Xenopus tropicalis: one gene and its partners. The protein of the gene in region 3 purifies or fractionates together with the protein of the main gene of each other region. This does not show direct contact. Links are inferred from orthologs where the notes say so. Each region holds a gene or a part of one and is shown on either strand. Other genes may lie near its edges.

Region 1 (8,307 bases), on a different chromosome or scaffold from region 3:
CTCTATGAAGCCTCTCTCTAAATGAGAAAGATCTCTGGGAATACTAACTGTATTTATTATCTACTCTATAGTTACAATAAGTAGCCAACTGCCCACCTGGAGTCACCTGTGTGCGTCTAACCGCTAACCGCTAACTTGCCCACACACCCTTGCCCCCCAACCTTCATCCCTTCAAAGCAGTGGTTCCCAGACAGCGAAACTGCCCCACCGCCCAGGAACTAAAACGTTTGCTCTAAGAGCCATAGAGAGTTTTACCTCAGCAATGGTTTTATACCTGGTTATGAACCTGGGGGATCACAGTCAAACTCAAGGCCAAAACCACTGCTTTAAAGGGATTTGAAGACAAAACCGTGTAAATGTAAATTCTCACCCGGTCCTGGCCATTTGCTGTCCTGCCAATCTCTGCCATTCTCAGGATAGCCTCTGCCGATACATCCTCAAAGCTTGCGGGTAAGGGAGGGGTGTACGGACCATGAACAGGAGGAACCTCTTCCACTACTACTGGCTCTTGAGTAGGTGCTTCTGTTGTTGCCTCCTCTTCCTCCTCAGTGTCTGAGGGCAGGAAGGAGAACTTTGAGCGCTGTTCCTTCAGCAGAGCCTCAATGCGAGAGTCCAGGCTACTGCTGTGTTGTGTGAATGGCAGACTCTCCGACACACCATCAAGGAGTGGGGAGCAGGAACGAGCTGGGGAAGGAGGAGGAGAACAGACCGGTGGCAGAGGAGGTAGAGGAGGAGGCGGTGGCTCCCATCCCTCAGTAGGAGGAGGTGGAGGCACCAGAATAGTCGTTGAAGGTGCAGGGATGGAAGGAGGAAGAGGAGGAGGGTGGGCTATTCGGTAATCACGATCCGTGTGAATGTCATCAGGGGGTGGGGGAGGAGGTGGCGGCGGTGGCAGAGGTGGCGTCCCAGGGAAGCGAATCAGAGGGGGTTCTTCTGGGGGTGGGGGTGGTTTGCGGTGGCGAGAGCGATAAGATGACTGCGGGGAGGACCGGTTTTGGTGCCTGTGAAAGCGTTTCTGGCTGCTCTCGTGCTGGGAGGAGGAGGAGGATGTAGAGGAAGACGGGGCTGGGGAATAGTGGTGCCCAGAACGACGGGAATAGGAGTCCCCAGAACTGTTCTCCTGACGCCTGGATTTATATCCCGAAGTGTCCTGAGAAGAGGAATGACTGGGAGTCCCCTGCCTGCAAAACAAAGAGAAACATTAAGGACTGTTGGTTGGACAAGTTCTGCTTCATCAAAATGATACTCTAATAGAGACTTAATGGGCATCACTGGGCTGGAGGCCAGTAGAAGTGGGATTTGGGGGTCAATGGTTTTTGCATCTGGCCCCCTACCTGCTGGAATAGGCAGAGTCCTGAGAGAAGGGGGTGCCACTTCGCGGAGTGTAGGGGGTGCCTTGGGAGGAGGAGGGGGTATACTGGCTGTAGGAAGAGCCGAGATCCTGAGAGGAAGGGGTTCCGTTATTTGGGAGGTAGGAGGAGGAGTCGCTGGAAAGCCTGCGCCTGGAGTCCACCTGGAGACAGACAACAACACATTTAATAAAGTGATGGCGCCGACACAACCCAGAACTTGTACCTGGAACGTGTGAAAATCACCCACCATGTCTGGCTGCAGCCTCTCCTGTGCCCATCTCCCACTCGTTGGCACTGTCTGGGGGTTGTACGAGCCATTCACGATCAGATCGTAATATTTCTGTCTTTGCTGACCTGAAAAACAATAACAAAAAAATCTAAATGCCTGCAATGAGAATCCTTCAACGACTTGATCCCCCCCCCCCATCTATATGCTCCCTCTCTCCTTCACTAATGGTTGCTCACAGTATTCCATGTACTGATCCCCCCATCTATATCCTCCCTCTCTCCTTCACTAATGGTTGCTCACAGTATTCCATGTACTGATCCCCCCATCTATATCCTCCCTCTCTCCTTCACTAATGGTTGCTCCCAGTATTCCATGTATTGACCCCCACCTCCCCATTTATATCCTCCCTCTCTCCTTCACTAATGGTTGCTCCCAGTATTCCATATATTGACCCCCGCCCCCCCATTTATATCCTCCCTCTCTCCTTCACTAATGGTTGCTCCCAGTATTCCATATATTGACCCCCGCCCCCCCATTTATATCCTCCCTCTCTCCTTCACTAATGGTTGCTCCCAGTATTCCATGTACTGATCCCCCCATCTATATCCTCCCTCTCTCCTTCACTAATGGTTGCTCCCAGTATTCCATGTATTGACTCCCGCCCCCCCATTTATATCCTCCCTCTCTCCTTCACTAATGGTTGCTCCCAGTATTCCATGTATTGACCCCCGCCCCCCCCCCATTTATATCCTCCCTCTCTCCTTCACTAATGGTTGCTCCCAGTATTCCATGTACTGATCCCCCCCCCCCATCTATATCCTCCCTCTCTCCTTCACTAATGGTTGCACCCAGTATTCCATGTACTGATCCCCCCCATCTATATCCTCCCTCTCTCCTACACTAATGGTTGCTCCCAGTATTCCATGTTTTATAGCTTCATGCTCCTAACTTGCCACCGTTACCTGCACCCCAATCTAATAGCACAGAGAGCTTTAAAAGGAGCAATATAATATAATATTATATATATATATATATATATATATATATATATATATATATATATATATATATATATAAAAATCCTAATCCACCGAGTGAGCTGTTTGGGCCTAGCCCAACCGCTGGATTCAGCCCCAGCCCATTATTGCTGCTCTGCCAAACATTATGCACGCAGCCTGTCAAATCCCGTTAGACTGCCAGATGGCAAATTGCCATTTTTAAATACTCTGACATCTTAATTAAGACCAAAAACATTTGGCTAAAAACTTGTCCCAATACTACTGGCCACATAGCTCTGACCGAGTCCGTTGCCCCCTCACCTCTGAGGTCCAGCTCGGCGTGGATGATGTTGCCCATCACAGACGTATTGTGGAGGTGAGTGACTGTGTCCCTGGCCGCTTTGGAGCTGGAGAAGAGGACCTTGGCCAGCCCCAGGTGTTTCCTAGTTTTGGGGTGCAGCAGTATCTCCACTTCCTCCACATCCCCAAACTTGCGGCACATGTCGGCCAGGAAAGGCTCCCGCACGTTGTCATTGAGATGCGCAAAAGTGATTTCTTTCTGGGGAAGCTGTCCCACGTAGAACTCATCAAACTAACAAACGGGGGGGGGGTTACAGAGTGAAATCTCGCTCCCAATGAGAGGAGGTACAGAGCCCAGAAATACAAAGCACATCCCACAGAAATACACGCTCTGCGCAGATATTACCCGCATACCTTAAATTTAGGAACAGGGAGGGAAATCTCTCGTGGTTTGCTCCACATGCGATGCTGTCGGGGGTCCCGCACGTCCCCCAGTGGGAGGAATGCTCCATCCTAAGGGCAAAGCAATAACATCACTCAGCGACTGAGCCATTAAACGATACCCCTGGCTGAGAAGTAACCTACCAAACCTTAGCCATGGATACAGTTTGGAATTTAAACTGCTGTCTGGTTGCCAGGCTCACTGCCCTTAACAACCAAGAAGTAGCTTAAACAGCACACAGTAAGATGAATCAGAAAGGGATAGGTTAACTTTTAGTATGTTGTAGAATGGCCTAGTCTTAGAAGCTATTCAATTTTTATTTTTTATAGTTTTTGAATTATTTGCCTTCATCTTCTGACTCTTTTCAGCTTTCAAATGGGGGGTCATTGACCCCAGTGCCAAAAAACTGTTGCCCTGCGAGGCTACGATTTTATTGTTATGGTTCCTTTTTATGACTTCTTTCTATTTATGCCCTCTTCTATTCATAACCCCGTGTCTCTTTCAAACCACTGTGTAGTTGCTAGGTTAAATTGGACCCTAGCAACTAGATAGCCGCTGAAATTTCAGACTGGGCAGCTGCTGACCAAAAAGCTAAATAAATTTATAAAATGAGAATAATAAAAAATGAAGACCAAATGCAAGTTGCCTCAGAACAGCACTCTCTACATTATACTAAACGTTAATTTAAAGGTGAACTACCCCTTTATAAAGAAAATAATAAAACAATAATCACAGACCGCAAACTGCGGGAAGCCACTCATAATAATGCTCCCCACCCCCCCGACACAGGCTGTAAAGGCCTTACGGATATGTTGAAGTGGATTCCATCATAGCGATAGACTTTCTGCGTTGTTCTGCGACTGTGCAATGCGGGATCCAACAGCAACTTGTAGCTCCTCCACTGGAAGCCCGCCCCTCTGTGACTTTCGCCCTCGGGCTCCATCTGGGGACATCTGACCTGTAAGGGGACAGTACAACAGTTTATGGAACATACCGTGCTGCATTTCAACCCTGCGCTTATCTGGTTTAGTCTTTTCCACTACTTCCCATTAAATGTTTTCTCGTTGTGTGGCTGACTTGGCCTTTAAAATGATCCTGACTGCCTTAAACTGCTACACGCTCCTTGTTAGAAATCGGACAGTCACTGTCTCATTTTGTTTTTAGGCCGCGGGCCTGTCGTTGGTGCCCAGACATTACTATAACATGGCGCCACTCGCTCCTCCTATAAAAGTAAGTCCTTATATCATCCAGCGAGTTTCAATCCAGCGGCTGCTGTCGGTTATTCGGAACCAAACTGCTACAATTTACAGTACAATCTCCCGCTCTCCAGTCAGATTGTGGGTTTCTGTTTGGTGTCACGTGCAGCCATCTTGGTTTCTTGCACCCGTCTGTTTGCTCACTCCCATTGTTTGCCTTTAGAACGCTCTCTCCACCACGTGCTCCTCTGTCTGTCACACACCTCCGTCTTTGCACTGCAAGCGCTCCTTTCCCATGGTGTCTGTCTCTTCAGTGTTGGTCTGTGCGGTCTGCAAGCTTCAATATTAAATCTCTTCCATTTCTTGCACTCTCATTGCCTGTCTGCCAACCTTGTCCATCAGTCTCTTGATTTACAATTTTATCCCCTCCTCTGAAATGTATTTACTCCATGCAATCTCCTAGCAAATATATTCTATGTCATCCTGTCTGTCAGAAAGATTCCCTAGTAAACAACCCTTAATGTCTGTCTCCTGCGTGTCACTCTATAGCCAAACACTATAACTAAACACCCCACTGCTGCCCCTGTAAAGGCTTTGATATGTGGCTGTGTCGGTCTCTCCCAGCTGCCCCTCTGTCTCACTCTCTGTGGTTCTCTCGCTGCCTGTAGCACTGGGCCAAAATGGCTTCTCTTAAATTTCACACTGGGAATCTCTAAGCATACTTTTGGCCAGTCTCTTGCCCTGCCTGTCTCCCCAATGCCCCCCCCCCCCCCCCCCACTCTTCTCTGTCTTCTAGTTACACTCAGCCCCTTCCTTCAGCACAGTATCCCAGGGAACAGTGGGCCCCTGACAAGCCTGGGGCCCCCTTGGGGGCATTAGATCATTAAGGAAAGTCCACCCTGCACCAGCCAGCTTTGGATGAGCAGCAATTCGTTGGCTGTTGGGAATAGTAGTGAAGCAACAGCCGGGGGGCTGCAGTAGGGAAGTAACAGCCGGGGGGCTGCAGTAGGGAAGTAACAGCCGGGGGGCTGCAGTAGGGAAGTAACAGCCGGGGGGCTGCAGTAGGGAAGCAGAAGCCGGGGGGCTGCAGTAGGGAAGCAGAAGCCGGGGGGCTGCAGTAGGGAAGCAGAAGCCGGGGGGCTGCAGTAGGGAAGCAGAAGCCGGGGGGCTGCAGTAGGGAAGCAGAAGCCGGGGGCTGCAGTAGGGAAGCAGAAGCCGGGGGGCTGCAGTAGGGAAGCAACAGCCGGGGGGCTGCAGTAGGGAAGCAGAAGCCGGGGGGCTGCAGTAGGGAAGCAGAAGCCGGGGGGCTGCAGTAGGGAAGCAGAAGCCGGGGGGCTGCAGTAGGGAAGCAGAAGCCGGGGGGCTGCAGTAGGGAAGCAGAAGCCGGGGGGCTGCAGTAGGGAAAGCAGAAGCCGGGGGGGCTGCAGTAGGGAAGCAACAGCCGGGGGGCTGCAGTAGGGAAGCAACAGCCGGGGGGCTGCAGTAGGGAAGCAACAGCCGGGGGGCTGCAGTAGGGAAGTAACAGCCGGGGGGCTGCAGTAGGGAAGTAACAGCCGGGGGGCTGCAGTAGGGAAGCAGAAGCCGGGGGCTGCAGTAGGGAAGCAGAAGCCGGGGGGCTGCAGTAGGGAAGCAGAAGCCGGGGGGCTGCAGTAGGGAAGCAACAGCCGGGGGCTGCAGTAGGGAAGCAACAGCCGGGGGGCTGCAGTAGGGAAGCAACAGCCGGGGGGCTGCAGTAGGGAAGCAACAGCCGGGGGGCTGCAGTAGGGAAGCAACAGCCGGGGGGCTGCAGTAGGGAAGCAACAGCCGGGGGGCTGCAGTAGGGAAGCAACAGCCGGGGGGCTGCAGTAGGGAAGCAACAGCCGGGGGGCTGCAGTAGGGAAGTAACAGCCGGGGGGCTGCAGTAGGGAAGTAACAGCCGGGGGGCTGCAGTAGGGAAGTAACAGCCGGGGGGCTGCAGTAGGGAAGCAGAAGCCGGGGGGCTGCAGTAGGGAAGCAGAAGCCGGGGGGCTGCAGTAGGGAAGCAGAAGCCGGGGGGCTGCAGTAGGGAAGCAGAAGCCGGGGGGCTGCAGTAGGGAAGCAGAAGCCGGGGGGCTGCAGTAGGGAAGCAGAAGCCGGGGGGCTGCAGTAGGGAAGCAGAAGCCGGGGGCTGCAGTAGGGAAGCAGAAGCCGGGGGGCTGCAGTAGGGAAGCAGAAGCCGGGGGGCTGCAGTAGGGAAGCAGAAGCCGGGGGGCTGCAGTAGGGAAGCAGAAGCCGGGGGGCTGCAGTAGGGAAGTAACAGCCGGGGGGCTGCAGTAGGGAAGCAACAGCCGGGGGGCTGCAGTAGGGAAGCAGAAGCCGGGGGGCTGCAGTAGGGAAGTAACAGCCGGGGGGCTGCAGTAGGGAAGCAGAAGCCGGGGGGCTGCAGTAGGGAAGTAAAAGCCGGGGGGCTGCAGTAGGGAAGTAACAGCCGGGGGCTGCAGTAGGGAAGCAGAAGCCGGGGGGCTGCAGTAGGGAAGCAGAAGCCGGGGGGCTGCAGTAGGGAAGCAAAAGCCGGGGGGCTGCAGTAGGGAAGTAACAGCCGGGGGGCTGCAGTAGGGAAGTAACAGCCGGGGGGCTGCAGTAGGGAAGCAGAAGCCGGGGGGCTGCAGTAGGGAAGCAGAAGCCGGGGGGCTGCAGTAGGGAAGTAAAAGCCGGGGGGCTGCAGTAGGGAAGTAACAGCCGGGGGGCTGCAGTAGGGAAGTAACAGCCGGGGGGCTGCAGTAGGGAAGCAGAAGCCGGGGGGCTGCAGTAGGGAAGCAGAAGCCGGGGGGCTGCAGTAGGGAAGCAGAAGCCGGGGGGCTGCAGTAGGGAAGCAGAAGCCGGGGGGCTGCAGTAGGGAAGTAAAAGCCGGGGGGCTGCAGGTTGGCCCCAGCTGATGTACGAAATGAAAGTACCTCAGAACTGACAATGTATCATGTGGCCCTTTGTCCATTTACTCCTTCCCACCCCCAGGGGTCCCGGGATGCTGGGGGGCCGGATACCCTGTGTGCCCTACCCACTAAGCAGCCGCGCAGTGTATCCGTTCCCTGGGTGCCCCTGTGCCCCTCGCATCGCCAGGTTCCCATTCCGGGGCAGCCCCTGTGCCCCTGCCCTCAGCCCCTCACTCCCGGCCTCCCCCGCCATGGCCGCCGCTCGCCGTTACCTTCCACACTGTGTCTCGGTGTTTATTTCCGCTGCTGATTTCCCTGCTTCTCACCTGACTGACGCGCTGTGTCCCTAGCTGTCTCTCCCCCGGATCCCTCTCTCGCTGCCTCCCGGTGGCGCTGCCTTGCCTTCCGCTCTGCCGCTTTCGCCCCGGCCCTGCCCCCTTTGCCTCACACAGGCTTCCCCACCGACTATTTAATTCCTCTTGCCTTTTCTGCCTCTCCCGCCGTAAAGCGGTCTCGTTTTCTTCACAAACGCGCTGAGTAAAATCCTATGTCCGCACCGCGCAGAGTGGAATCTGCAGCCACTGAAAGCGCAGACTGGTTTCCTCACCACCACTTTCCGACGCGGCACTTTCAACACAAACACCATAAAATAAGCGAAGCCATTTTTTCCCCGGACGGAGCACGGCTTCTCACTTTGTAACCCACTAATAACATAAAAGCAGCAGGGGTGGGTTTTTATTTTCCCTTTTACTGATTAAGAAATGTGGAATCTGCCGACCGCTGAAGGAAAGCTGAGTGACGTAGTATAAGGAGGGAGGAAAGGCGGGATTATGTTATAGAAAGGAGCGCAGGAAAGAAAAGGATGCAGATCTATAGTCCGACTCTATGGTTACGGGAGGACG
Region 2 (8,307 bases), on a different chromosome or scaffold from region 3:
CTTAACTAGGTTATGGGTGAAAGTGTATACAGGGGGATGACACACAGAGCTACATAGTAGCAGCTACTTGTAATGGCTATAAACCCCAGTAAATCCCCTGCCATAGACAATAGTGAGAATTCCCTCTGCTAAAACACATGGAGAGACAATTATCAATAATCGATCAGCATTGTCTGTTTCTGTAACTGCTACTAGTAGCTCTGTGTGTCTTCAACGTTACTGGGACCTATGGGGCTGGTGAAGGTGGAATAATCCTGGCCTATAACGATGAGCCCAATGTAACGCCATTTTATCAGCTGGGAATGGAGTTTTCTGGAGCGAATGGATGATTCTGTGCCAGATGCATTTCATTGTATGTGGAATCTGCCTCATTCTCCCGTAGGCCACGGAGATGCTGGGATTTCTGTAGAAGTTGGGCTTCCGTATCTTCCTTCTGCTTCCGGGATATTCCTTTCCATGCTGTGCAGCATCCCCCATAAGTCTAAAAGCCCTCAGACGCCCGTTGGAATGTATAAAGAGTATAATTCATCCGAAGAAAACAATCACCAGTTTTCAGAAAATGCTTTATTTGTGTGTAGGAAGCAGGGAGGGGGGAGCATTCTGGGTTGCAACACGGATTAACGGTTCTCTCTTTTGTACCGAGCAACTCACCTGGTCCATCAAAGGGCAACAGTTTGGAGGGAATTGGGTCCTTGGCACTGAGTGGAATCAGATACAGGTCCTTGACGTGACGGTTATTGTTGGCTACGACTCCGAATCGGCAGCGGCTGCTGAAATAGGAGTATAGGGATATGTAGGCCACCTCCTCCTCTTCTGTGGCCGGATGGAAGCGGATCAGCGACAACTCCTATAGAAACACACAGACAGAAGTCTCACACTTGTATTTGGCATCAGAAGCTCCAGATCATTAGGCAACAAAGGGTGATTGAGCACGGATGCCAGGTACCAATCACTGCTCCGAGGGTATTTGCCTTGGGCAGTATAGAGACAGGGAGGGGGGCTTCAGACATTTACCTTTGACTGAGAGGACTTCAGCTTCCCAACGTAATCCCAGACGGTCTTCGGAGAGATCCTTCCGCCTATGTGGATCGTGTCTGGTAAATCCTACAGAAAAAAATTAACCATTAATCCACTTGAAAAAAAATAATAGATCTTTCTACACAAATAAATCTGGACTTGTTGAGTAATCGTTGAAGACGTTTCACTACTCATCCGAGCAGCTTCTTCAGTTCAACTGACTGGTATGGGGAGCCCTCAGCATATATACTCTTGGCACTTAGTGCCATTGTGATTGGATTAGTGGAAGAGTATATATGCTGAGGACTTCCCATACCAGTCAGTAGAACTGAAGAAGCTGCTCGGATGAGTAGTGAAACGTCTTCAGTGATTACTTAACCAGTTAAGTTGCTTTAGATTTATTTATACTAGATAAACCATGACCTGGATGAATGCAAATCTTCATAGTCAACTTTCTACCCAGTGAGTTCACAATGAATTGGCCCAGATATTTATGGGGGGGGGGGTCGTTATTAATAAGGGGAACAAACCTCATTGAGATATTCCACAGAGCCGGACACCGGGTAGGCTTTAGTGACAAACTTGGCCACGGACTGCATGTTTATGAATCCTTTCCATATGGGGTTCAGACGAGAGAGGAAGAGAGACGTATCCCCTTCTTTGGGTGGCCGCATTTCTGTCAAGCTGCGAAAAGTAAACGATGGAAGTTTAAGAAAAAAAGAAAATTCCACTCAATCCAATATTTGTGGATCTACTAAATATCCCACAGCTGACAAAATAACGGTCCACGTTAGATCATTTGGCAACTTTGTCATTTCACATTATTCTTCTTAAGATAGTATCTGATACTGTGATTGGCTAGGACTTGTGCTGGTTCTCAGGGCTGTTCTAATTGGCTACTGGATGTTACATGTACGAGTACCCCCCAAGCAGAATGGCTCAGACCTAGGGGCGGCCCTAGGCAACCCGGCCGGCCACCTCGCCCCTGCACCTTCCTGATCCCCCCCGTGCGCATGTGCAGTCACAGGGAGGGGGGTGGAGTTCGAGATGCGATTCGATGGTTCATTGCCCCCACCACATAAGGACAAGCGGTGGGGGCAATTACTAAAGAGAGCAGACTAGGGGTAGGCAGGACAGGCTCCTGTCTGGTGCCCCCTAATTGTTGCGCCCTACGCAGCTGCCTCTCCTGCCTACCCCTAGTTCCGGCCCTGGTCAGGCCCAGTCAGGGTTATAAATCCCAAATGTATTGCTGTAATCCATAATAAGATTGCTTGAGGTACAGCAGTGGCAAAAAGCACCCCAGCCCCCCCCAAACTTTTCTATCTACTGTATAACCTGTGAATATGGAAAAGGATTGTGTCTGAGGTACCCATTTGATTGCAAGCCTACAGGACGTGTATATAACGGACAGTATTGTTGGCCCTTGGGAGTAAAGTGGCTAAGAGAGCAGGCTAAGCTTACGCACTTGATGTTTGGCGATGCGGACGCTAAGTATCGGCTCTCCGAGGGAAGTGGCTTGGAGAGAATAGACTTGGGCATAGAGAAGACTTGAGGAAGAAGAGGCTTGGGTGGTTCCGTCGGCGCCTCTTCGTTCTCGCGTGAAGACCTTGCACCGATGTCTGGGTTGGAAGAGACGGTCAGAGGGCGCTTGATGGCTGTTCTAGGGTCTCTGCCCGATACGGTGACAGTGGTGACGGGAGCAGGAGAGGGGTACACGGGGGCGTGACTGGAATATATTGGGTCGGGGAGAGTAGGGGATTCAGAGGGTAAGGGCACAGGTAATGGGGCTGCCTCTGGGATATTCTCTGCATTATCACAGATTTCCATGGGTGGATTGGACTCTGTATTTTCAGCTGGTTCTGGGGGAGGGGGTATAACGCTGCTCTCCTCTTTGGGCTCCGGCTTGGAATTCAGGTCGGGCTTCTTGGCAGCTGCAGTGGTGGTTTTCGGTCGCTTATAGGGAGGCTCATCATCCGCAGGAATCTGGCCTGTAAATACATCAGTACGGGTCACAAACAATGTCTATTGCGTATACACTCCAGTTACCCATTGGTACAAGTCTGCTCACCTGTACAGATCTTGCACTTAAGGTCGAAAAGATGGGCACGATGCTGGCTCGTAGTGTCGCTCAACATGCTGCTGAATATGTCCGGAAGAACCGAAGTATTAGTCTCCGGCGGGGCCTGCGCCGGCTCCTGCTGCTCCTGTGGAACACACGCAAGGCAACACTGTTAGGGAACGTCCTACAGAGGAACCCCAAAGACTTCTATAGTATAGTGGACTTATAACCCATAACTTACCGTGTCTGTATCGGACATCGGCGGGGACTCCTCCATGTCAACCGCTTGATTCATCGAAGGAATTTTATTCTCCATCCGAGCCTTGCTTTTGAGGACCAAACCCTTTTTTTCAAAAGAGGAAAAGAAAAAGGAATTATTACTAAAAAACCACGTCACTATGACAACTGTGGCCTTGGCCTTAGGATAGCAGATTACAGGTTTATTTCAAGGTAGGGTAAAGGGGGCCATACATGGGCTGATTGTAGCTGCCGATATCGGTCCCTTGGACTGAGTTGGCCTGTGTAGGGGCAGGAACGAGGGGCATGCCCGACCAATATCTGGCCTGAAATTGGCCAGATATCGATCAGGCAGGTTAAAAGATTTAGTCGGATCTGGGACCGTATTGGCTCGTTGATGTGGTCCCCGAACAGACTGCCCCATTGCCGCCATTATAATTAGCCTACATTCTCCCCCATATCGCCCACCCATTGGTGGGGATATTGGGAGAAGATCCGCTCGCTTGACGACCTCACCAAGCGGATCTTCACGTATATGGCCAGCTTTAGGTAACCCACAACTACTGTCTGTGCAAGACACCCTCATACTGTGGGTTTGCGGAACCTTTGCCCATATAAAGATCAGGTGCTTTAGAAAAGAAAAAAAAACGTACTGATCTGGATCCAGTCTCTTTCCACGATGATAACTTTCTAGACGCGAGTTCCTCGGGTTTTAGCCGCACAAGCTTCGCCAAGGGAATCTCTTCTTTGAGGACTCGGTGGTACAGACCCTAGGAGTAAAAACCATTGGACAATTTAGAAAATGACGAAATGACAAAAGCTCAGATGGGTCGCTGCAGTGCTGAGAGGAACTGGCAAGGGTTAAACAGCATCACTAAATGCCAATGAGCATCGGCGAGGAGACGGCAACGGTGCCGCCCTAGATACACACACACACACATCAGTAAATAGAGTGCCACAAACCTGATTCTTTGGGTCCTTGAGGTTAAACATGATGTTGCGGTACTTGGCCTTGTACCTGCTGTCCGTATCCCGATACAGATTGAACATTTCCCTTTCGATATTTGTGGCGATCCTCGCAACCTCGTTCTCCACCATCACCAGGTCATCGCTGTCAATGACTCTGGAAACACAAACAGACACTTATTCACAGGGAACAGCCAATCACACGTCTCGTTACATTATAACTAGTTGGATTCTGCCGTTTATGGGTAATTATATTCATATTTAACATTTCCTTGTATCTTTGATGGGTGTTTCGGAACGTTCGGATATTGGTTGATCGATCTACTCATGTTGAGCCTGATATTGTAGGATAAAGCCCTAAATATAACCAATGGGAGGATGTTCTGAATGTGAAATAGTTACAGGCACCAATCGTACGATAGTGACTCCCATTGTAGGGCCCTTAAGGGCAGATATACAATAATACGCTGATTTTTTCCTTATCCCACTGACATTTTCTAACCTGCCCCATCGACTAAACGGCCAATCCCCATGGTATTGGGATAATTCTGAGCTCAGACAGTCTGGAAATTGCACGAAATGCATGTATGGGTGCATTACTTTGTATATTGCCTTAAACTAATATAACCAGAGTGTAATTCTGTTTACTGTGGGCACAGGGGACCTTTAGGAGGGTCGTACACTGACTGTCCAATAAAACAAATATGGAAAATGACTAAAAATCATCCATGAAACACACCTCTTCCATAAGATCTGTTTCAGAGACCTCCGGATGTTCTGCCGGATCTGCATGTTGGGCACAGGGTGTGAGGAACTCTGGGCAGACTGTGGGGTGCTGGACGTAGGCTGTGAGGTGTTGGCTGTGGGTCTTGGGGGTGGGTTTCCCATTGCAACTTTAGTAGATGGGGAGGGGGCAGCTGACTTCTTCTGACCCAAAGGCAACTTGGAGGGAATGGCTTTCTTCTGACTCGGTGCAGAAGGCAGTGATGGAGCCGGAGGCTTTTTGGGAACAGGAGACGGCTTGGAGTCGGCAGGCTTAGTGGGCTGACGGACCCCTTTGTTCTGTATGGGGCTTTTGGAACTAACAGCAGGTTTAGGCAGCGGTTTGATGGGGGTTGTGGAGTGGGAATCCTTCTTGGGTATCCTTGGGAGCGAGGAGATTGGCTTCATCACCATGCTGGTGTAAGGGCAAGGGACGGACGCTTTGGCCGGAGGAGAAGCAGGAACTTCGGGCTTCTTTTCCACTTCCTCTACCTTTTCAGCTGCAACAGAAGAACAAAAGGGAAAACCCGGTTACACATTATACTCAACTGTGTCATCTTTTCAGCAAATCCACCTGCACACACAATAGGGCGTAAAATGGAGGAAAGGAGGTTTTTATTGCAGTGTGTTTGGTTGCTGATCAGTCACCGTGACGGCCAGGGTGGCATTTGGGTGGAGCAGGAAAAAAAAATAAAATAATGATATTGGGCAACGGAGAAGCTGAATAGATCCATCAATGACATTACAAGTTATTGTAAAGGCAACACTGCTTTGCTGATGAATTTGCCCCCAGGTTACAGACCCCTTTGCCCAACACAGACTGGGTAATTCTGCCAGCAGGATTTGCTAGAGATATGTAATCAAATATTTCAACACATCTTTATTTTACAAGTGATTATGGGCCACTTGTGCTCTACATTGACCGATTGCCGTTAGTGGGTGGAGTCGGCTTGATGGAGATGTAATGAGTGCTTGAGGTGGGTGCTTAGTGAATGGGTGACCCATAGCGAAGCCCTGTTTGACTGGGGTGGGTGCTTAGTGAATGGGTGGCCCATAGCGAAGCCCTGTTTGACTGGGGTGGGTGCTTAGTGAATGGGTGACCCATAGCGAAGCCCTGTTTGACTGGAGTGGGTGCTTAGTGAATGGGTGACCCATAGCGAAGCCCTGTTTGACTGGAGTGGGTGCTTAGTGAATGGGTGACACATAGTGAAGCCCTGACTGACTGGGGTGGGTGCTTAGTGAATGGGTGACCCATAGCGAAGCCCTGACTGACTGGGGTAGGTGCTTGAGGTGGGTGCTTAGTGAATGGGTAACCCGTAGTGAAGCACTTACTGACTGGGGTAGGTGCTTGAGGTGGGTGCTTAGTGAATGGGTGACCCGTAGCGAAGCCCTGACTGACTGGGGTGGGTTCTTGGTGAATGGGTGACCCATAGCGAAGCCCTGTTTGACTGGAGTGGGTGCTTAGTGAATGGGTGACACATAGTGAAGCCCTGACTGACTGGGGTGGGTGCTTAGTGAATGGGTGACCCATAGCGAAGCCCTGACTGACTGGGGTAGGTGCTTGAGGTGGGTGCTTAGTGAATGGGTAACCCGTAGTGAAGCACTTACTGACTGGGGTAGGTGCTTGAGGTGGGTGCTTAGTGAATGGGTGACCCGTAGCGAAGCCCTGACTGACTGGGGTGGGTTCTTGGTGAATGGGTGACCCATAGCGAAGCCCTGACTGACTGGGGTGGGTGCTTGGTAAATGGGTGACCCATAGCGAAGCCCTGACTGACTGGGGTGGGTGCTTAGTGAATGGGTGACCCGTAGTGAAGCACTTACTGACTGGGGTAGGTGCTTAGTGAATGGGTGACCCGTAGCGAAGCCCTGACTGACTGGGGTGGGTGCTTAGTGAATGGGTGACCCGTAGCGAAGCCCTGACTGACTGGGGTGGGTGCTTGGTGAATGGGTGACCCATAGCGAAGCCCTGACTGACTGGGGTGGGTGCTTGGTGAATGGGTGACCCGTAGCGAAGCCCTGACTGACTGGGGTGGGTGCTTGGTAAATGGGTGACCCATAGCGAAGCCCTGACTGACTGGGGTGGGTGCTTGGTGAATGGGTGACCCATAGCGAAGCCCTGACTGACGGGGGTGGCTGTACATAGGAATCTGACACATAGAGGTTACTTGCCCGTCCCTATAAAGGAATGTGTGGGCCAATTGCCCTAAATGCAGGTTCCTTTATGGCATTTTAAAGTTACCTGTCCATTTTCAAGGCCAAGCTTCGTCTACTAAGAGGGTCCCTTCCCCAGAGGGGATCAGGGGAGTCACTGGCACAGTTGGGGGACATTATGCCAGTACCAAACTGTATGATGGGGTCTCCATGATGTTGCTGTAATGTGGGACCCCTACATTATAGGAACCTTCCTCTCACTATGACTCCATCAGAATGGGATGGGGGGGGGGCTCTAATGGTCAGATGAGCGGTGCTCTAACACCCATAGGTGAGCTCAGCTCCAACGCATGTGGGTGTAGAATCAGCAAACAGAATGTGCCCCCGACTAAATGAGGAAAAATATCTACTCCCGGAACAGCAGGTAAGTCTTGCCTGGCTTGCTCGTAGCCACAGGGCATTATAGTGCCAAGGGCAAGGCCTTCGTGCATCAGTATTATATGGCTTAGGACATAGGCATTTACGCGTTTCTCTTGTGCCCTTAGTGTGCCACCGTGCCAGTTTGTATTGAATAGAACACAGAAGTAGCACATAAGGCAACTAGTCAGCCAAACAGAATGCCACAGTGGCTTTAGCCCAGCACACAAACATGGGGGGATTAGGACTTAGAAGGCAACTGTTTTACCCCCCCAGCTGCCCAAGTTACAGATACAATTGCATGTTATGGCCAGATCCTGCACAAGTAAAAAGTCAACTTCTTGCAATATGTAGTGGCTTAGAGAGGTTAGATGGGCCTTCAGAAACGGTGGTTTTGCCCCTATGGTCACCTTCCCACCTCAAGGGCTGTACAGGGGCAGTTGGATATGGGCTGAAGTGGTCAAACAAGGTGCACAGGCAGGGCAAGGGGTACATCTGGGTCGCTCTTTGGTTCCCAGTCAGTAGGTTTCCTCTCCAGCCATCTGAGGACTTCTCAGGAGCTTCTGATACAAGGAGAACTCAGGTTCTACACATAAAGGCTCTGTAGGGTTCCATCCCCAGGGAATACTGCCCCCCTGCTTGATAGTGGCCCAGCCACGGGCCCGCAGTCTGTACTTCTCGGGTTCCCAGTTAGTGCA
Region 3 (8,307 bases):
CAAGAGAAATAGATCAGGAATTCCAGAAAATGGTAACCACAAAATTAAAATTTCTGGCATATAGCTTCATGTTTTATAAGCATAAATGTACAGTTATCACAAAACTGCTGGATCAGTGTGCAATTTGGCCAAACGTTGATGGTCAACTGTCACAAATCAAGTTACAGAAATGAAAACTGAAAAGCCCAACTTGAAGGTCCAACACCTTTGGCTAGGGCTCCTCCTTGAAGGACCAACTTTTGGTCAGGACCCCTATTAGTTCATGAAATGAGTATATATAGGAAGTATTGGTGTATCAGTCACTGTTTCAAGAGTATCAGCAAATGTATGCCTATTCAACCTTAAAATTAGGCTTGAAGGTGGATTTAAGAGACTAATCACCATTTTTCTTAATTCTCACCTTAACTGACCTCAAGGCTGAGCCCCCTCTGCCACTGCTTTTTTACAGATATAAAAAAAGGAAAATACCTGGGACAGATCAACAAAGTGGTTTGCTTCTGCCATCACTTTTACACGAAAGTTTGTGCCATCATCAGGGCTGAGTGCGTAGCAAAAAACCTATAAAAAAAACAAAAAACTTAAAAAGGTGATATTGCAGCACTATTTTAGTAAGTTTAATGGGCGTATCATACTATACTTCAAGGATCTACAGTTTTTAAGGGTTATATTTTGTTTATCCACAGATACTATGAAATTCAGATCCTATGAGATGTCAATAAGGGCATGTTCATATTCAGGTAATTAAGAATACAAGTAGTCCTGACTTTTTGGCATTTTTTTTTTTTAATACTGTGGTGATAGCACCATTACTTATTATGAGCACAACCATAACATCTGCATCACCAACCTCTATAATGACACACATTCAAAAACTGAGAAAACTAAGAAACCCAGAAAACAAAAAATTAAAAATATAAAACTGTCAGAAGCAAATCTATTTGTAAAACACCCAATGTAAGCCTATTTATGTTAGTACATCCACCTTAGTGTGCATTGATTCATATGTGCATAGCTTAAAGCAGAAACGTTACTCTATTCAATAAAACAGCTTCTAGCTCTGCTTCTGAAACAAATTCAGCACATCTTAAGATATTATTTTATGTACAAGGTATACAGAAATTTATCCTAAACAAGTTTTTAGATTTAAAAAGTCTGTGCTGGGGTACATCACAGCACCAACTAAGTGTCCCAGAGCAGGAATTTAAGTAGTAAGGCCCATCTAACCTTTAAATGTTGGGCTGGAAAAAAACTACATAAAAAAGGACCTAGAGGTAGATCTGTGCTATATAAAGCAGAAATTTATTTAAAAGCATTAAACTGCACTGAGCCATACTCCCATCTCCATACAATGACAGGTAGAACCATAAAAAAAAAACAAAAAAAAAAAAACACCTTACCTCAAATTTATCTGGATTATGCATGCCAGGTATTGACTGCATGAGGTGAGAAGTTGGATGATTTCCAAAATCTGAGCTCACATATCCCACCCGTAGTCTCCCATCACTAGCCTTTAAATCCTTTGGGTGTTCATATGGTGGTTTGTGAAGGACATTTATCTGCAATATAAATAGTACAAATTGTAACAAGTAATTTGTGCTATTCTGAAACCGCTCAAAAGAACCCAATTCATGATAATGGAACTCCATAAATATGCACAATGATAAAATATCTTTCACATCTTAAAATGCAATCTTACCTTATCTAAACACAGGTTCCCATGCCTTTCAGCAATTGCTTTCCTAAAACCATGAGACAGTGGGTAGAGCATGCTGTGGTGGGGATGGACAGAAGGAAGCCTGTTCTTTTCTAGCTGGTCGGCAACAATACTGACCAGCTTTTTCATACGCTCATCATAATCTGTCCAGTCGCAAACAATCTATAGAAACAAGAGTCCATATTTATAACTAGAAGAGAAAAGCAGCAATTGCATGCAACAGTTAGACAGGCTTGTGATATACTGTTGTAGCTCTAAAATACCAGTGAAGAAGTTAAAGGAACAGTAACACCAAAAAATTAAAGTGTATAAAAATAATTAATATACTATGTACTATTGCCCTGCACTGGTAAAAGTTGTGTGTTTGCTTCATAAACACTACTACAGTTTATATAAATACCCTGTTGTGTAGCCATGGGGGCAGCCATTTAAATTGAAAAAAGGAGAAAAGGCACAGGTTACTAAGCAGATAACAGATAAGTAGCAGATTCCCATTGTATTCTACACAGTTATCTGTTATCTTCTTATGTAACCTGTGCCTTTTCTCCTTTTTTCAATTTAAATGGCTGCCCCCATGGCTACACAGCAGCTATTTCTATTAACTACAGTAGTCTTTCTGAAGCAAACACACAACTTTTACCAGTGCAGGGCAACAGTACATTATATTTTAATTATTTTAAAACATTTTTATTTTTTAGTGTTACTGTTCCTTTAACAAATAAAAGGCAAACAGTATTAATGCAGGACTTTCAAGGTAATGTTGCTGATTATAAGTACGTTCAAGGGCACTGCAGTCTTTTGTGGTGTTGTCCCACTGCAAAAAAATGTGGGAGACAAACCATCATCACCAACAAATGGGGTGGGATTTCTTCTGGAAAAATTAGGTCATGGAAACAAAAACCATAGTCACCCACATTCTTGTAAAAGATGGAAACAGTATCCAAGATAGTAAAGAAAAAAAATGGGAAAAAGTTGATTGTCTGGCAAGGAATGAAGCCCAGTAGCAGAAGTTACTTTACTTTTTTTTTTTTTTTTTGCACAGAAACAGCAAAAAAAAAAATAGGTCAGAAATTTGGTCAACGTGCCACAATAAAAAACAAAGAGACCCAAGAAGTCAAACCTTTTAATTATAAATTTCAATATAAATTTTGCACTTGAGAGGAAGAGAAAACCCATCTCTTATTCACTTGCTAAAACCCAGTTTAAAAAGGGTATGAAGGACATGCTAACTGCACATCCAACGTTAAAAAATAAACTATTTGGCAAGTTTATGCCTACACCTTTCCTTCACTTCAATTACTGAGCTCTTACAAAACATCATAATCCAGAATACCATTAATACACACTCTTACCTGAAGGCAGTGAGCAAGGTTGCAGTAGGCATCAGGAAAATCCGGCTTCAGTTTCAGTGCTGTCCTGTATGATGCAATTGCCTCTGGAATATTTCCAGAATCCTGAAATTGTTAAAAATAAATTATCGTTTCTGTTTTTTTAATTTTTGTCAAATCCCCCCAAAGGCTAATCCACATTAGAAAGTAAATTACTTTGTGAATGGAGGCCAGATTACTGTGAGCGTCAGCAAAAGCTGGATTTATCTGAATTGCCCTAGTATAACACTGCAATGCACCCTGGACATCTTGCATCTCCTTTAAAGTGTTTCCCATATTAGAATAAGCATCAGCAAAGGTTGGACTTATTCTAGAAAACAGAAACAAAAATGTAAATCGCACCACTAACCAATATGTAATAGGAAATGAAAACATGTACCTATTTTAAATGTACCTAATAGCTTCCTTATAATGCATCAGAGCCTCCTGAAGTTTTCCTTGTTGTTGCAATACACTAGCTAGATTTGAGTGAGCAGCTGCAAATTCAGGGAAAACCTGCAGACAGAAAAATAATTTAGGGACAAATCCATCATGGTTAAAATGTTCCTAGTGCAACAATCAATAGTATATTTACCTCAAGAGCTTTTCTATACAGCCGCACTGCCTCCTCTATGTTTCCTTGTTCTCTCTTTATATTTGCTAAGTTATTGAGAGAATCTGCATGTGTAGGACAGAGTCGAAGAGCTGTATTGTAGCATTCCTCTGCATCGACCACCTTAAGAAAAAACAAAATAAAAATCAGTGTTGTAGCTTCAACTTGAACACACAGAAGAAACACATTAAAAAAAAATGTACTTACACTGCCTTTTTCTTTGAGAGCATTGGCAAGATTACAATAGGCATCAGGGAAATGTGGCTGCAGCTCAATGGCCCGACGGTAGGTGTCAATTGCAAGATCAATAAGTCCCTGCTCATAATACACACAAGCCAAATTTCCATGGACCACAGCATGATTTGGACTTAAGCTTAGGGCTCGCAGGTATGCTGCTACTGCTCTGTGGGGGGACAAATAAACCATTCAATCAATGTAGAACGGATGTCTTAAAAATTAAAAAATTAGCCTGTAATCAGATTCTACAGCAACAAGCAAGTTTAACTTCACAAGTCTTCTTACCGGTCAAATATACGAGCCTCTTTCAGCACATTTCCCAAATTAATATAAGCATCCAGGAAATTGGGATCAAGAGTTACAGCCTAAAACAAATTTCAATAAAGTACAATAAAAAAAAAAATTTAGTAAGGAATGCAACAAAAAGTAGGATACATCTATTACAAACTTATAAAATGTTACATGTTACACACTTTTGGATGAATAATAATAGTCCTAAAATTCCATTATGGTAAATAAAAGCTGAAAAAACCTAGTAGCAAAGCAATTACTTTTAAATTACCTTACATAGCAAATTCTAGGTACATTATTTGACTTAACACAGGCAATGTAAGGTAACAGTAAAGCTGGAAAAATATGTTGTTTGAAGATTTTTACTACAGGCATATCTAAACTTTAGGACTCAACTCTATGGCCCTGTACATAAGCAACTACACTATTATGGCTTGTCTGGAAATTGCACCCTTTAGTTATACATTAGGTAAATATATGCATTCCCAGTTCCTTTGCTGCAAGATTAGTAATAGTAAAGGGGGTCTCTCCCCCTAACAAAAGCATTACCAGACAAGGAAAAGCTAGTAAATAACTTGGCAAAGAATGAGTACAGAAATACCTTTTCAAAGTGGTGAATTGCAAGCCAGATCTCTCCTTGTGCATTAAATACACATCCAAGATTACTCCAAGCAACTGCAAAGTTTGGTTGTGTTTCAATTGCCTTGAGGTAACAAGCCTTTAAAGGATCAAAGCAAAGGAAGGTGGGACAGGAAAGGAAGGAGAGGGGTTCCAAAAAAAAAAAAGAGAGAAATGTCAGAATTCATTCTCAAAACAGGAAAAAGTGACCCTGCAGCATAGGCTCGCTAGCGCTTCAAATACTGCGCAAGCTATGAATCCTACGCCAGCGCAAACCCTTACCTAAATGCAAGCCTCCATTTTTTAGTTAAGCTGATTTGATGTGCACTGGATTGTAATATTTTAATTGTCTAGAGTTTAAAAAGAATAAAATCTCCTGATCACAAACCACCATTCTCCAAATGGTAAACAGAAGTTCCATACAGTATCAATTTCATTTGTTAATTATGCCTTAATAAAGAATGAAGAAGGTCTACTACTATGGGGGTATCCCATAAACAGCACTTTAATGTCTTTGCAGCTCTTTTTCTTCTATGTTGTTTTATCCATTGGAAAATAGGTATTGGTGCCATCACGAAAACCAAAAATGATAAGATTGCATACAGGTTAGGGTCCCTGTAATGCAGGCGCGAAGATTCGCAGGCGCGAAGATTCGCAGGCGGCCCAATGCTAGTCAGCAAAACTACGCAGTTGCTGCGCTTCGGCGAGTCGCTGGCAAATGTCAACAGCCAACCTGAAGCATTAACATGGGACAGAACTAAAGCCATTTAAACTAAACCATGAATGAGCTCCCCACAAATGAAATGCTTAACCCAGAGGCCTTAAACAAGAGTTAACCATCAAGTTGACTGTTCACACAATTTAATCCCCACGCACAGCGCAAATCGTAGCGCAGCCTTTGCGCTACTGCAGGCTCACAGCGCATGATGAGGAGCAGAACGCTTCAGTCCAAACAAAGAAGAAAAAAAAGGAAAAAAAATAATGAACATTTGGAAGAGTTAGAAGCTTACAACTAAACTAGCTCCGGTTTTTTTTTTCTTTTAAAACATATTTACTCAGTTTCCTTTAAAGAATTGTGGCTAATGGTATATAGTCTCGTCTTTTAAATGTTACTAAAAATATTTTAAGCGGTTTCTGAAGCCACAAGACAGAAGGATTCAGGCATGGAGCAAATGGTTTTTGTTGTGGCAGTTACAAACCCGTTACCATATTTCTCATGTGACTTTTCGGTGCGTTCCTTGCTGGAAGAGGAGGAGGTGCATGTCTGCCTAGATCCAGGCCTCGAGCTCCCTTCAGCGAGGCACCTTACGCATGGAATAGCAGTTTTCACCCACCTGAAACCTTCTAAATACAATATCAGTGGTAAAAACCAAAACAGGAGAGAAAATAAAACAATATAATTAGTAAAAGATCTCAACAAAGCAAGTGAAATGTTTTTGGATATGCTCTATGATTCAGACAAGGACATGTCAAGCTTGCTTTTTATTAATGTTTATCATGCAGGAAGTTTGGGCAGAAAAGTGCACGACTGGAAGAAAGGCTTTATGGTTCTAACAGCTATGTTAATTTTGCTCTTAAACAACCAGGAAACAGCTGGCTTGATATTGGAAATGCACTGATTACAGAGAAAGAATTCAGTTAACTTGTTCATGTATATTTAAATCCTTGCCAAAGAACAGTTTCTCAAGCTAGTTGCTTCCAGAACTCTGAAATAAAGAAATCAGCATTTCTATGCCAGCGCAGACTTCTCCTATGCAAGTGTCGCCGAAGCAGCAGTGAAGTGCAATATGTGTTAGTTGTCCAAATGGAGAGCTGAGAACCACAATAACAGGTAATTAAAAATCAGAGCCCCTTAAAAAATAAAAGGATGTGCTAACCTGAAATTGACCCTTTTGGTACCAATTTAAATAGTGAATTCTATAAAAAGGTAACCCTCCCCATGGGTCTCATTACACATGGACAGCTACTCTGCATTCGCACTCCAAGCAATTGCAGGCGCGTGGGGTGTGGAGTAACAGGGGGATTTCACATGTCCTCTAATTTCTCCCAACCCCTTTTCCTAGCAGCGCAGACGCACAAGGTGGCTTGTAACATGACTGCTGTATTTCACATTAAGTTTACAAACAAGTGCAAACCTGTTAAAACATCAAAAAATAGATTACAATTTACCAAGTCTGTAACTGTCAACTGCTAGAAGCCACCTTTAAATTCTTAGTTTCTTTCTATCAGTCCATTTTCTTAATACAAACCAGCCTCTGTCCTTTTGCTGTGAATAGGAGTGCAAACTAAGTTTTTGGGTCAGATGTGCATTTACTTTAAAACAGCCTTTCTTCCATAAAAAAAGCAACATTCACTGGGGGGAAGAGGGGGCTAGAGGAGAAAAATGGATGGGCCTTTTGTTTTGGCTTTGCAGTCCCCCTTATGTTCATCAGATGATGAGCTGGAGAGCAGGGGACCAATTCCAGATGAATTTGGTCAATTTAGTAAACCAAGGATAGGACTGATGCCTTTAAAAATAGTAAAAGTTTAAGAAACCAGATGAACAACTCCTCAAACCTGAGGTGTTGTGTAACCAAACGATACTCCTCGGATCATGCGTTTCATGTACAGCTCCATTTGATTAACATGTTACTGTATACACTAGTTATAAAGCTTTAAGGCAAAGCAAAGGTTTTGCAACACTGGAATTGGCATGTACATTGATTATCAATATACTGAAAACCTACCTTAGCTTCTTCTAAGCGACCTAGGGCTTTAAGAAGATTACCCAGGTCACTACGGACACAGTACAAGTCCTGTCGAAAAGGTAAAAGAGAAAGACAAAAATAGGATTAAAATACAGAAACACATTTAACACTCACAATGGACAAAAGCAGCATAAAGTATGTTAAGGTTTGGAAGCAAATGTTTGCTTAGGCTAACCCTTTATAGGGTCTGAGGGTACTTCAACACTATCACATTCGATTAATCTCTTCCCACTGAACCAACTATATACCCTATTTGCTATATACCCTTGCCCCCACACAAAAAAAAAAAAAAACAGAATTCACCACATTGGAATAGGTATTGGAGCAACATAGGGGTGGGTTTCAACTGAATGACATAAGGCTGCTGTAGCTTGTCATACAATTCCATGCTGTCCTAGGATCCCATTTGTATGTGGACTTTCAAGAATTCATTTATAAGTGGTACTGTCCATTTAAACATACAAAGAATAACTTACAGGGTTGTACTGAAGAGCAGACACATAAGCTTGTACTGCGCCCTCCATATCACCAGCTGCTACCAAAGCCGCAGCAAGATTAATATATCCATCAATGAAGTCTGGTTTTAGCCTCAGAGCATGCCGATAATGTTCAATAGCTTCCTGAAGTTGTCCTCGCTCTTTATAAACATTGCCCAAGTTCGAATAGGCTTCTGCAAGAAGGGGGTTCTGCTTAATAGCCAACGTGCTGAAATGGGCAGAC

What was found. The genes of interacting proteins can lie anywhere in the genome.
Region 1: the proteins of ogt (region 3) and setd1a purify together in Homo sapiens (affinity purification with mass spectrometry; 4 studies listed by BioGRID and IntAct, with this or other methods). This does not show direct contact. The link is inferred for Xenopus tropicalis from reciprocal best matches to the Homo sapiens genes OGT and SETD1A.
Region 2: the proteins of ogt (region 3) and dido1 purify together in Homo sapiens (affinity purification with mass spectrometry; 3 studies listed by BioGRID and IntAct, with this or other methods). This does not show direct contact. The link is inferred for Xenopus tropicalis from reciprocal best matches to the Homo sapiens genes OGT and DIDO1.

Annotation. Positions count from the first base shown.
Region 1 is NC_030685.2:5,880,131-5,888,437, forward strand, and holds the start of setd1a (histone-lysine N-methyltransferase SETD1A), read right to left. Parts: upstream 8,219-8,307; 5' UTR 8,052-8,218; coding exon 8,013-8,051; exon of another isoform or gene 7,889-8,012; intron 7,883-7,888; exon of another isoform or gene 7,678-7,882; intron 4,280-7,677; coding exon 4,127-4,279; intron 3,393-4,126; coding exon 3,294-3,392; intron 3,172-3,293; coding exon 2,901-3,171; intron 1,707-2,900; coding exon 1,600-1,706; intron 1,514-1,599; coding exon 1,335-1,513; intron 1,182-1,334; coding exon 371-1,181; intron 1-370. UniProt on the Homo sapiens protein: Histone methyltransferase that catalyzes methyl group transfer from S-adenosyl-L-methionine to the epsilon-amino group of 'Lys-4' of histone H3 (H3K4) via a non-processive mechanism.
Region 2 is NC_030686.2:2,429,941-2,438,247, reverse strand, and holds part of dido1 (death-inducer obliterator 1), read right to left. Parts: intron 5,542-8,307; coding exon 5,019-5,541; intron 4,437-5,018; coding exon 4,277-4,436; intron 4,084-4,276; coding exon 3,967-4,083; intron 3,420-3,966; coding exon 3,318-3,419; intron 3,222-3,317; coding exon 3,086-3,221; intron 3,006-3,085; coding exon 2,483-3,005; intron 1,702-2,482; coding exon 1,548-1,701; intron 1,105-1,547; coding exon 1,015-1,104; intron 848-1,014; coding exon 652-847; intron 1-651. UniProt on the Homo sapiens protein: Putative transcription factor, weakly pro-apoptotic when overexpressed. Tumor suppressor. Required for early embryonic stem cell development.
Region 3 is NC_030684.2:44,072,434-44,080,740, forward strand, and holds part of ogt (UDP-N-acetylglucosamine--peptide N-acetylglucosaminyltransferase 110 kDa subunit), read right to left. Parts: coding exon 8,064-8,307; intron 7,636-8,063; coding exon 7,567-7,635; intron 6,185-7,566; exon of another isoform or gene 6,059-6,184; coding exon of another isoform or gene 6,047-6,058; intron 4,941-6,046; coding exon 4,824-4,940; intron 4,297-4,823; coding exon 4,217-4,296; intron 4,098-4,216; coding exon 3,902-4,097; intron 3,818-3,901; coding exon 3,677-3,817; intron 3,598-3,676; coding exon 3,497-3,597; intron 3,413-3,496; coding exon 3,259-3,412; intron 3,169-3,258; coding exon 3,067-3,168; intron 1,877-3,066; coding exon 1,697-1,876; intron 1,557-1,696; coding exon 1,398-1,556; intron 559-1,397; coding exon 469-558; intron 1-468. UniProt on the Homo sapiens protein: Catalyzes the transfer of a single N-acetylglucosamine from UDP-GlcNAc to a serine or threonine residue in cytoplasmic and nuclear proteins resulting in their modification with a beta-linked N-acetylglucosamine (O-GlcNAc).